3 linked regions of the Neurospora crassa OR74A genome follow. The protein of the gene in region 3 purifies or fractionates together with the protein of the main gene of each other region. This does not show direct contact. Links are inferred from orthologs where the notes say so. Each region holds a gene or a part of one and is shown on either strand. Other genes may lie near its edges.

Region 1 (3,544 bases), on a different chromosome or scaffold from region 3:
CTGGAACCGTCTGGCTGAGGCATGGTGTAACCCAGGATTGAGCGGGGTAGGAGTGGCAGGCAATATCCAAAATCCAATCATCTCGAGTGGCTGGACGTCACTTTTGTATCACAGCGGCCCGTCTGTGAGTTCCGTCGTCTGATTCTGTGATGTCTAATGGCACCACGGAGCGAGGAGTGGTCCGGTGCGCGTGTGCTGTGGCTGGGGGAGGAAGCAGTAGGTGTTGGGTTTGTAATTTTGATCCTTTGTACATTTCAGTAGATACCAAGTTTGAGAAGGAAGATTACGGTGAACCGCATGGGATAATTACCGACAAGAAACTGGAAAGAGATAGCGACATCTTGACTTTCCTATACTTAGTGTACGGTTTGTATCAGGAAAGAACGATCTCGGGACCCTTACTGTCGCAGGGCAGGAGCTAGTCTGGTGGAGCCTCAGGGGAACCCGACTCCACTTTTGACGCTTTCCCCGGATTCCGTCCCCGCATCTTTGAGTTAGCGCTGTGGATCTGATGGGGCTCTCGGTCAGCACCCGACCCTCAACTCCGCTGTGAGTGAGATGAAAGGAGCACTGTGATTGGGGAAGGAGTGAGGAAAGTCCATTGCACTTCAAGTTCAATCTGAGAGACGGAGATGCGTTATATCAACCAAGTGTCAAGGAAGACCTCTTTTTGTGTAAAGCCTAAGTAGTCACCTTCAACAGACACTGGCCTACTGCCGACGGAGTTTCCATCACAGAAGGTCTTGATCATTGTGAGAAATGACAGACAATTCAAGATCCGATTTCGCCACAGTCTCCGAGAAGAACTTGACGCCTTCAGTTGTAACTCGAATAGATTCTTCAGACATGGTAAAAATTGCAGTCACGAACACCGATGATACCCGGTGTTGAACATTGTAGAGGGTGTCAGACTTTAATCGTTAGCAGTAACTGATGGGAAAGAAAGAGAGTGGAGCTAGCAATGTTAGGGTCCGCGAGAGTCCTGTTAACAGAAACCAATGCCATCTTGGTGACTGAACATTGTCGCGAAGCGAAAAGATCGTGAGCTCAAGAAGTATTGTTGGATGGATCGGGGAATATACTGATTTGGGAAAAGTAAACATGCCCGTCGACTTGAGCATCATGGCCATCGCTTGTCGAGAGAGCATCGAAAGTAAGCAGCCGCAATTGCCGGCCAACTTACATCGAGGAATCGATCATCGGGAACCATCATTGTCAAATCAAGAGAAAAGAACCGTCTGGGCTGGCGTATATGCACGCTCAACCCTAACCCGAGTCTTGTCGGCTGATAGCACGATAGCGCTAAGATAAGCCAAGCGTCCCCTCCGCCCCACTTTACTTTTCCAACACCGACATCCAGAAATTTTCAGAAGCGGCGCCCTTGACCGTTTCGCTGTTGTTGACTTTGTTGCTTGCTTCCCCCTCTCCTCCCCCCCCTCCCGAACAGACAACGAGCCCATCCTCACCCGGCTCGCTGCTTCTCTCCTCAACCACCACCACCACCACCACCACCACAACCACCCACATAACCCGTCAAGATGCGTGTCGATCCCTGTTTCTTTTGCGGCCGTCCGGCCTGGCCCTCCAAGGGCATTACCTTTATGCGTAACGATGGTATGTTTTTGTCATACTTCAGTTCCCCATCATCAACCTCTCCGTCAAGGCCAATTGCTAACCAGGGTACAACTAATGTTACAGGCAAGTCCTTCCGCTTCTGCCGCTCCAAATGCCACAAGAACTTCAAGATGAAGCGCAACCCCCGCAAGCTCAAGTGGACCAAGGCCTACCGCAAGAACGCCGGCAAGGAGATGGTGGTCGACAGCACCCTGCAGTTCGCCGCCCGCCGCAACGTGCCCGTCCGCTACGACCGCGAGCTCTTCGCCAAGACGGTCAAGGCCATGGAGCGTATCTCGGAGATCCGCCAGCGCCGCGAGCGCATCTTCTACAAGCGCCGCATGGCCGGCAAGCGCGCCCGCGAGGTCGCCGCCGCCCGCAAGCTCGTCGCCGAGAACGAGCACCTCCTCCCCCGCCTGCGCGGTTCCGAGAAGAGGAGGCTGGCCGAGCTCGCCCAGGAGACGGGCCAGGACGTCGAGGAGCTCGAGCGCGAGGAGCTGGCCAAGAAGGCTGCCAGCAAGAAGACCAAGGCGTTTGGCGGCGAGGTCAAGAGGCTCCGTGTCAGGACAGACGGCGGCGTGGAAGAGATCTCGGAGCGCGTCGCTGGTGGAGGCTTGGTCGATGAGGATGACGATGACGAGAACGATTTCGAGGACGTGGACGATGACGACGAGATGGATACCGACTGAGCGCCCGAGTCTCTGTAACTATTACTACCGCGACCACCACCACCGCCAACCACCACCACCACCATCACCAACACCGAAACCAGCCACCTCTTTTCTCGGGATCATTCGTTGTTTGCTTGTTTTCTTCGGACGAACTCGCTCCCGCGGCTGTCGATATCCCTATGCGGGGGAGGGTTCTGCTGTATTTTTTCGGCGGCCTTTCCTCGCCACTGAGACCTGCCTAGTTGACACCAGCAACAAAGCCCAACTACGACGAACGGGTCTTGGTGTATAAAGACGGAACGACCAGAAAGAGGACAGGACAGACAGCAATTGGTTGACCAACAGCCAATACTCTAACTGTAAAAACAGTAACTGTGGCTTTGGACAGACAGACAATCCTCCCCCCCGAGCGATGGCTGCTTTCGGGGCTTGCTTATACCCCTTGCTTGGTTGGTTGGTCGTTGGTCGCTACAGGTCATTGGAAAGATTCATTATATTCAGAACCATGGTTTTCAAGGGGGGGATCAATCAGTCTACCTTTAGTAGCAAAGCATATTTTCGGTTTTATTGGAATCGGCGAATTTGGCGTTTAATAGACACGGGGAGACCCACAATATGAAGTACTTGTTTGTTTTTTTCTTTCTGCCATGTCTTGTCTTGTTTTATAGTAGTAATCCTCAGTACTTTCTGACTCGACAAGTTACTCGTTTCTGTCTTCTGCCAACGTGACTGACCTCTGTAGCTCGAGACCTGACTAGGTATCCTAGCCAAGGATATATCCAAGGTCAATCTTGGACTACTACCCGTTCGTTGATTCCATCTTGCACTCAGTCGACAACACAACAACTCTAAACAACACCTAAAAGACACAGTTGGTTCAAGTCGGTAACTAAATACAAAGTATTATATCTTTTATCATTTGTATTATTATAAGCGTTAAGACCCGACAAAACCAAACCAACCCCTTCCTTCGCATGCTAATGCTCCGATCGCCTTGCTTTAGCCAGCCAGCCAAACCGTAAGCACAAAGCACAGCCAAGTTTCTCATTATAGTTTGCTTCCCCATTTGTCAGGTTGTCTAGCCCACCCACCTCTATTTCCCTCCCCCCACCCCCCATCATCATCATCATCAAGTTCCATCTCATTCTCTCATCATATATTTACCCCATTATATCGTTAACCTCGTTAACATCGTCAACATGATCATCATCCCCATTGCTGTCTTCATCCCCAGCCGTCACGGTTTCCCAACCAGCACG
Region 2 (3,628 bases), on a different chromosome or scaffold from region 3:
GCTTGGTACATGTTATCGAACGAGTCGTACATGAAGCGTGTGATGAGCGACGTCTTGCCGACTGTTTGCGCGCAATCGTTGAGTTAGCATTGGTGTCTCGGAGAACATCGTGGAGAAAGTGTTGTAGGTTGAGGTAATCGCATACCGCTTTGTTCGCCCAAGAAGACCAACCTGGCGAGGAGAAAGAGTGGTTAGCATCTTGTCTTGTTTTGTCTTCCATTTGACTTAAGTGCATTGTCTGCAAAAGTGTCGGGTATGTTGTCTTACTTGAATTTCTTCAAGGGGTTGTTGTATGACCCGCCTGCTTGCGCCATTGTGATGGATGTGTTTGCGGATTAACGGTATTTGGCGGGGTAGGTAGGTAGGTAGGTAGGTAGGTAGCTGAAGGTATTCGGAAACACGATCAAGGGGAGGAAGCTTTCGGACTTTGGAGGAGGTGGTGGTGGTTAAGTGGCAGAAAGCTTAGTAGTGTAGGCGGTCGGAGTTGGTCTAGAGTTAGATAGGTGTCTGCTGGTCGTCGAAGTGGAAGATGGACGGCGGCGGAGAGTTGCCGGAGACTGATCATGCAGCGTTGAGTGGTCTCAGTGGTGCGACGGACGGGGCGTGGTGGCCGGGGGGTGGATGACAAGGGAGCTTGGAGGACAATCGGGTCGGTGTTTGGGATCCAGTCGGGGTCTCGTTGCCGACTTGGTTGCTGGGGTCTTTGCAGTCCGTCGAGTCTTCGTTTACCAAACAAAAATCGGGTCGAGAGATCGTTTTATAAGAGTTGATACCACAGAGAGCAGAAAATACTTGAACATTTAATATTTTGTTTGGATACAGATTAATTGATTGACCGACATTCCGTATGTACGTATGTACAAGTTTACATGTTTTTATCCATTGTTTATGCATAACCTCAAGTTCGAACAACAAAGTGTTTCTTGCGACTATTATTCAGTCTTCTTCCCCGAAGCGGACTCATGCGAGAGAAAGGGGACCGCGCCAAGCGATCAGTGGAGGGAAACAGTGGCCGCCCGCCGCCTTTCTGCGCCCAGACAAATTCGACACTTCACTTGACCAAAACGACCGAGACCGGGCATCCAATGGAAGCTTGGCGGCCGTCATTGGATTTGTCCAGAGGCCGAGGCAGCTTGGAAGTCTGATTGGCTAATTGCTCCAACTGCCAGCTGAGCACGGCTGGGGAAGGGAACTGAAGCGCTGGACGCTTGTGTTCCATGAAGTTGCTCTTCCCTGTCCTGTCTCGGGCAGGTCTTTCTTATCTTATCGCTGCCTCCTGTCGCCGCTGAAATTTTGAGTTGCACACCCCACTGGGCAGTCGGATTGATTGCAGAGGAGACCCCAGAATTCCAGGCGGTTTCGAGGTATCAATATTTCCAATTTCTTATCTGCCTCGAACCTCCGCCGACTCGTTTGATTTCTTCGAGTCGTCAACCCAACAACACAACACACCATCACATCACATATCCAAAATGCCCGTCCTAAAACCCTTGTCGGGCAATCCCGAAGCCCCCAAGCAATACAACCAACCGTCGAGAAAGGGCAAGAAGGCGTGGAGGAAGAATGTCGACGTGACAGAGGTCGAGCAGGGTCTCGATGAGTTGAACGCCCAGATTATCAAGGGGTACGGCGCTCCTTCTGTGATGCTTTGTATTACCAAAGACACCAATTGGTTAACATGAATTATCGTATAACAGTGGTGTCATTGCCGAGAAGACCTCCGAAGAACTCTTCGCCATCGACGTCAAGCCCGACACCGAAATCACCAAGAAGCTCCCCAAGCAACTCAAGAAGCCCTTGAAGGCCGACGAGATCCTCGCCCAGCGCTCCGCCGTTCCCGCCGTCTCCCTCAAGAAGCGCCCGGCTTCTGAAACCTCCGGCAAGGTCACCGACGGCGTCCTGCCCTCCAAGCGCCTGCGGGCCACCTACGTCACCCAAAAGGAGCTCAGTCGCCTGAAGCGCGTTGCCGACGGCCACCACACCACCACGGTTGAGGTCGTTGACGCCACCTTTGACGCCTGGGCCGACCCAGAGGAAGAGCAGAAAAAGAAGCAGCAGGCCGCGGAAACGTTCAACTTTTTGCCCAAGGTCGAGAAGCCCAAGGCGCCCAAGACGCTCACACAACAACCCATCTCCCTCGCCGCCACCGGCAAGCAGCTCCCCGCCGTTCCCAAGCCCAAGGGCGACAAGTCGTACAACCCCGCCTTCACCGACTACTCGGAGCGCTACCAGGAGGAGCTGCGCAAGGCCGAGGAGGCCGAACGGAAGCGGCTGGAGGAACTCGAGAAGGAGCGTCTCAAGGCCGAAGCGGCCGCCAAGTCGCGCGCCGAGGCCGAGGCCGCCGAGAAGCGCGCCGAGCTGTCGGAATGGGAGGATGATTCCGCCTGGGAAGGGGCCGAGAGCGACGCGGAAGGGTTGGCCAACAAGAAGAAGCGGCCGGAGCGCAAGACGCAAGCCCAGCGCAACAAGATCAAGCGCCGCAAGGCCGAGGAGCAGCGTCTGAAGCACGAGGCGGCCATCAAGAAGAGGGAGGCCGAGGCCGCGCGGGTCAAGCAGATTGCCAAGGAACTGGCCGAGAAGGAGAGGCAGCTTGCTCTCCAAAAAGCCGAATCCAACAATGTCGAAGAGGACGATGCTAGCCTTGAAGAAGATGACGACGTCGAGCTGCGCCGTAGGCAACTAGGCAAGTTCAAGTTGCCCGAGAAGGATCTGGAGCTGGTCTTGCCGGATGAGCTGCAGGATTCGCTGAGGTTGCTCAAGCCGGAGGGTAACTTGTTGAAAGACAGGTACAGGAATATGTTGCTTAGAGGCAAGGTGGAGGCGAGGAGGCACATTCCCTTCAAAAAGCAGGCCAAGACAAAGGTCACGGAGAAGTGGACTTTCAAGGATTTCAATCTGGCTTGAAGCGGCTCGGCTGGGTTTAAGTTTTGGGGCTTTACGGACATATACATATTCGGATTTGTTTGGTAATTGTTTTTCCTTCTACAAAATATTCCCTTTTGGTTTTTGTTAGTAGTACGTTTGTCATGTGTATATTGGCGTTTACGGTTTTCTCACTTGGTCTTCAGTGCAATAAAAGGTTGGAACATTCAAAGTGGTCCTATGCTCGCGTTTTTGTCTTTCAAGTCTTGTAGTGAGATGACATTACATGAATGTCTTCACACTCGCCCATTAACACACCAGAACATACGTAGTGACGGGATATTACTTGTTATTCGCATTATCTACAACCAAAAACCCTAACTGGATATCTTTTCCCACCACCCTACCAAATCACACACTCACCACGCTTCCCCAACTCCTAGTCTGTCTATTACATTACTACCTTGTCTCTCCTCTCTTCCCACTCTTACCCCTTCCCATCCCATCCCCCCTTTCCATTCGGAGCTAGGCACCCCTCACACCACACTCCCTCACAACAACAAATCCCCCTGAGCCCCATTCATCCCTCCCATGCCATTCATCCCCCCCATCCCCGGCTGGTACGCCGAGCTCTGACTGACCACGTACCCCTGTCCATACCCATAATGTCCCGCATCCCCACCAAAACTGTCGCCGGGCTGCTGTATCTGCATCTGCCTCATCTGCTGCGCAAAGTACGCATCCGCATCATTGACCGCCGCCTGCT
Region 3 (4,388 bases):
GCTGCGAGCAATCGACAGGCACCCGGCCAATTGCCGGTAGTAGTCCCCATTGTGGTTGACAGCACACCGGCCTCGCCTCGCAACAGTGAGGAAAAGCCAGCGGCCCAAGAGACAACAGAGGTCGAAGCCATGCCACAGAAAGCCGCCGTAATCCTTCTTCTGGCCTCGACCGGCTTGGTCGCCGTTTGTGCCGAGTTCATGGTGGACTCCATCGATGCAATCGTCGCCCGGGATGCCAATGCAACTACAGGCATCTCTGAAGCCTTCATCGGTCTAGTGCTCATCCCCATTGTAGGCAATGCAGCTGAACACATCACATCTGTGAGCGTGGCACTCAAGAACAAGATGGACTTGGCACTGGGCGTGGCACTGGGCAGCAGTATCCAGATTGCGCTGTTTGTGACGCCGGTAGTGGTTATCTTGGGCTGGATCATGGATCGAGACATGTCTCTCTACTTTACCCTCTTCGAGACTGTCTGCATGTTCGTTAGCACCTTCATTGTGAATTTTCTCGTTAGAGATGGGAGGAGTAACTACCTCGAGGGAGCACTTTTGGCATCTGCCTACCTCATTATCGCCGTGGCAGCGTTTTACTTGCCAAATCCAAGGTTGGCTAGCTCTGTTGGGTAAGGGTGAAGACAGAATTTAGGATGGGAGGTCGGAGTGTGTAGGCTACCTAGGTTCGGATGACAGATGAACGGTTATGGTTGAGGCCCAGACCGAAGGAGTAGTTTGTCTTGACTAAGGAGGTTTAGGCTTTTGCCAACAGCCATATCAGTAATTGTCGTAGCAGAGGCCGCATCAGATGCAGTATCAAAGCTAGTACCAGAGCCAGTGCCAGCCGTGACCGTACCCGACTTGGGACCAGCAGCAGCCGCAATACTTTGCAAGTGGCATTGGGAAAGCGAAAACCCGGGCAGCCTGGAATATCGGGACTGCCGGTCAATGAGAAGCGAGGGGAATGAGAAGTTTGGTCAATAAGTAGAGATAGTTGACGAGTATCCTGGTGAAGGGAATCCAGGGTATAGCGATTCCTCTGGACGTGGGCGATATTTGAGGGTCTGGGTCACCTAGACAAAGGGAGAGAAATGAATTTTTGTGCCTTGTGTAGTAGTATAGAGAAACAAAAAGGCGTCATGTCGGAACATGAATCCCCTCCGGAGGAGTCAAGAACAGCCGGGCGATGCTCATGCTGGGTTCATACATAGATGGGAGATCACGTAGGGTATACAGTATAACAGCTGTTGGGAAGCAGTGGTGACGACAAGTGGGAGTTGACTCGGAGTGTTGGAATGTTTGGAGATGGGATGATGATGACATGGGATGATGCCCGATGGTTCAAGTGGAAGGTTTGGATGCAGACGCACTAACAGCGCTAAATCGTAAACAGCCCTGGCCCAGCTTCGTGATGCCCCTGTGGAGACATGGGGAAAGCAAGTGTGGGTCAGAGCTCCATTGGAACTGGACATGCCAAGCCAGTTTTGCACGCCATCACCGCCAAAATTTTGGACTGTCCGCATTCTGCTGGGTCCAGCCTTTGCAGGGGCAGCAAGTCCAGTGCAAACCCAGAAGGCCCCCAATCCATCAACACTTCCTGGAAGTCGGGCGAGTATCGCAACACACTTTCAGCGACAACTTCTGGCACAACATAATCCAAGATGGCGACAGTACTACCACCCCCGTCGAAGCGCCAAAAGAGAGAGGAGATTGAGCGCACCACAACACAGCTCGATGTCGCCCCGATACTGGCGCCTGAGCTCGGCTCCTTCAAGGCCAACTTCGTCGACAGCGATGGCAACCAGATGACCGATGTCATCGAAATCAACTTTGCCGATGCCACCGAAAAGAACATCTCCGTCTTGCTCAACACCCTGCTCGAGAGGGACCGCGAAGAGTTCACCCCATACCGATTCCGCATCCATATTCCCGGCAAGGATATCATTGTCGACCAGTACCCTTCCGACCTCCTCGGCCTTCTCAAGCAGCATGGTGTCGAGAACCCCTTCGAGTATGCAAGACCCGGACACAGGAAGCCCAGCACGTAACTGCTTCGCTAACCTCCGCATAGAACCACAATTACTCTTAGTGCCGAGCCCCAGGCTGTTTTCAGGGTACAAGCAGTTTCGCGCCTTGCCCATCGCATTCCCGGTCACGGCCAACCCATCCTCGCAGCCCAGTTCTCGCCTATTTCATCCGGACGCCTTGCTACCGGCAGCGGCGACAACACAGCTCGTATTTGGGATACAAATACAGGTACCCCGAAGCACACATTGAAAGGGCACACCGGCTGGGTCCTCGGCGTCAGCTGGAGACCCGATGGAGAGCAACTAGCGACCTGCAGCATGGATGGCACAGTGAGGATATGGGATCCCGAGGCCGGCAAGCCCGTTGGTCAGCCTTTCAAGGGCCACGCCAAATGGGTGTTGATGACGGCGTGGCAGCCGTACCACTTGTGGAGAGACGGCACCCCTAGGATTGCCAGTGCTAGCAAGGATGGTACCTGTAGGATTTGGGTTGTCAACACAGGCCGTACCGAGCACGTCCTGAGCGGTCACAGGAGCTCCGTCGCCTGCGTGCGATGGGGTGGAACCGACCTCATCTACACGGGTTCGCACGATAAGGTTGTCCGGGTATTCGACGCCGTCAAGGGCACCTTGGTACACAGCTTGACATCTCACGCCCACTGGATCAACCATATTGGTTTGTCCAGCGACCACGCCCTGAGGACCGCCTACTTTGACCACACCAAGGACGTCCCTTCCACCGAGGAGGGCAGGAGGGAGAAGGCCAAGGAGCGTTTCGAGAGAGCGGCCAAGATCAATGGCAAGGTTGCTGAGCGCATCGTATCTGCCAGTGACGACTTTACCATGTACCTGTGGGACCCCACCAACAACGGTACCAAGCCCGTTGCTAGACTTTTGGGACACCAGAACAAGGTGAACCAGGTCCAATTCTCTCCCGATGGCACTTTGATCGCCTCGGTTGGTTGGGATAACAGCGTGAAGCTCTGGAATGCCAGGGATGGCAAGTTCCTCAAGAGCTTGAGGGGTCATGTTGCACCCGTGAGTTCCTTACCCACATTCATCTCTTACCACGAGGGGAAAGTTCTAACGCGTTGATACTTCAGGTCTACCAATGCTCCTGGTCCGCCGATAGCAGGCTTCTGATTACGGCTAGCAAAGATACTACCCTCAAGGCATGGAATGTGCGCACTGGCACTCTCGCCATGGACCTTCCCGGACACGAAGACGAGGTATGTGAACCAAATCACGGCGACATCGGTGTTCCCACTGCTGGAAAATTCTAACTCGCTTCCAGGTATACGCTGTGGACTGGTCGCCGGATGGCAAGATGGTAGGATCAGGCGGAAAGGATAAGGCCGTGAGGACATGGAGAAACTAAAGAAGAGGGCAAGAACGAACCTTACTCTCCTACAGCCAGCAGTCGGAACCCGAGAGCCCCCGCTCTACTTCACTCGCGGAGGCCTCAGCGGGGTGATATGACTTCTGGCCTGCTTCCGTGGTGTTTGCAGCAGTTTGCCGTTCGCACGAACGAGCCGGCTTGGGATACTACATGCCCAGGTATCTGCCAGAAACAACTTTCACGGCAATCTTCGCGAGCCAAGTTTCCTTGACGTCAGCCTAGCTACTAGTATCGGCTCACCAAAGAGGCCTTGCTGAGTCAATACGCAACACGGCTGCACACATCACCTCGACTCGCAGGGTGGTGATGTTGTGTGGCTGTTAAGTGCTTACCGACTGCGCCTCTGCCAAACTTTCCGAATCGCTGGGCAAGAGCGAAAGAGGCGATGGAATGGGCCTGGCAAATCGGTAAAATCTCCCGCCGCCAGTTCAATGTTACCAAACCGCGCGACCACACACCAAGACCAACAAGACGCTCGAAAGATTTGGAAAATGGAAAGCACCATAGATAGACAGAGACGTGGTCATGTTAAGCGATGTCCGGGGGTATCCATTTGAGGTTTGATAGATGCGAGCATTTGATGGAATGGTTCTCATTGCGCGCATCATGCAGGGCGTTACATAGGTGCCACGATATAGACAAGGATAGTGATATGCATTCATGGCAACCTAGAGAGACGTTGTTTAATCATGACGTTTGGAGCTAGTGAACCAGCCGTTGATGTTCAGAGTTACGAATATGTAACTTTCGAAGACGGCATATGATTCACTTTCCCGAAGCAACAGACCAGAGGTAGCAAGAACCACGCACACTGCAAGCCTTTTTTTTTCTTTTTTCTGAAGCATCCTTCGAAGGCCCGGACGGGAGCTGCCACTGGTCCTATGGGTCCCGGTCTGTAGCAGGCAAGAGGGAGCAGGAGGCAGCCTTCCACTTCCCCGCCCCGCCGTGCCGCGTCGGGTCCAACG

The links.
Region 1: the proteins of NCU00794 (region 3) and NCU05235 purify together in Saccharomyces cerevisiae (affinity purification with mass spectrometry; 3 studies listed by BioGRID). This does not show direct contact. The link is inferred for Neurospora crassa OR74A from reciprocal best matches to the Saccharomyces cerevisiae genes RSA4 and RLP24.
Region 2: the proteins of NCU00794 (region 3) and NCU05233 purify together in Saccharomyces cerevisiae (affinity purification with mass spectrometry; 5 studies listed by BioGRID, with this or other methods). This does not show direct contact. The link is inferred for Neurospora crassa OR74A from reciprocal best matches to the Saccharomyces cerevisiae genes RSA4 and NOP53.

The regions. Positions count from the first base shown.
Region 1 is NC_026504.1:5,664,067-5,667,610, forward strand, and holds NCU05235 (ribosome biogenesis protein RLP24), read left to right. Parts: upstream 1-1,388; 5' UTR 1,389-1,538; coding exon 1,539-1,614; intron 1,615-1,698; coding exon 1,699-2,303; 3' UTR 2,304-3,007; downstream 3,008-3,544. UniProt on the Saccharomyces cerevisiae protein: Involved in the biogenesis of the 60S ribosomal subunit. Ensures the docking of NOG1 to pre-60S ribosomal particles. Activates and recruits ATPase AFG2 to cytoplasmic pre-60S ribosomal particles.
Region 2 is NC_026504.1:5,668,567-5,672,194, forward strand, and holds NCU05233 (60S ribosome subunit biogenesis protein NOP53), read left to right. Parts: upstream 1-1,240; 5' UTR 1,241-1,472; coding exon 1,473-1,624; intron 1,625-1,697; coding exon 1,698-2,904; 3' UTR 2,905-3,091; downstream 3,092-3,628. Other genes in the region: NCU05234 (GTP-binding protein ryh1), read right to left, coding at 1-61, 146-171, 268-314; NCU05232 (AP-2 complex subunit beta), read right to left, coding at 3,414-3,628. UniProt on the Saccharomyces cerevisiae protein: Late-acting factor in the nuclear maturation of 60S ribosomal subunits, which is required for normal acquisition of export competence. Required for the export of the large subunit.
Region 3 is NC_026501.1:7,141,714-7,146,101, forward strand, and holds NCU00794 (ribosome biogenesis protein Rsa4), read left to right. Parts: upstream 1-1,507; 5' UTR 1,508-1,658; coding exon 1,659-2,008; intron 2,009-2,068; coding exon 2,069-3,062; intron 3,063-3,127; coding exon 3,128-3,253; intron 3,254-3,318; coding exon 3,319-3,402; 3' UTR 3,403-4,105; downstream 4,106-4,388. Other genes in the region: NCU00795 (membrane bound cation transporter), read left to right, coding at 1-630. UniProt on the Saccharomyces cerevisiae protein: Involved in ribosome biogenesis. Required for processing and efficient intra-nuclear transport of pre-60S ribosomal subunits.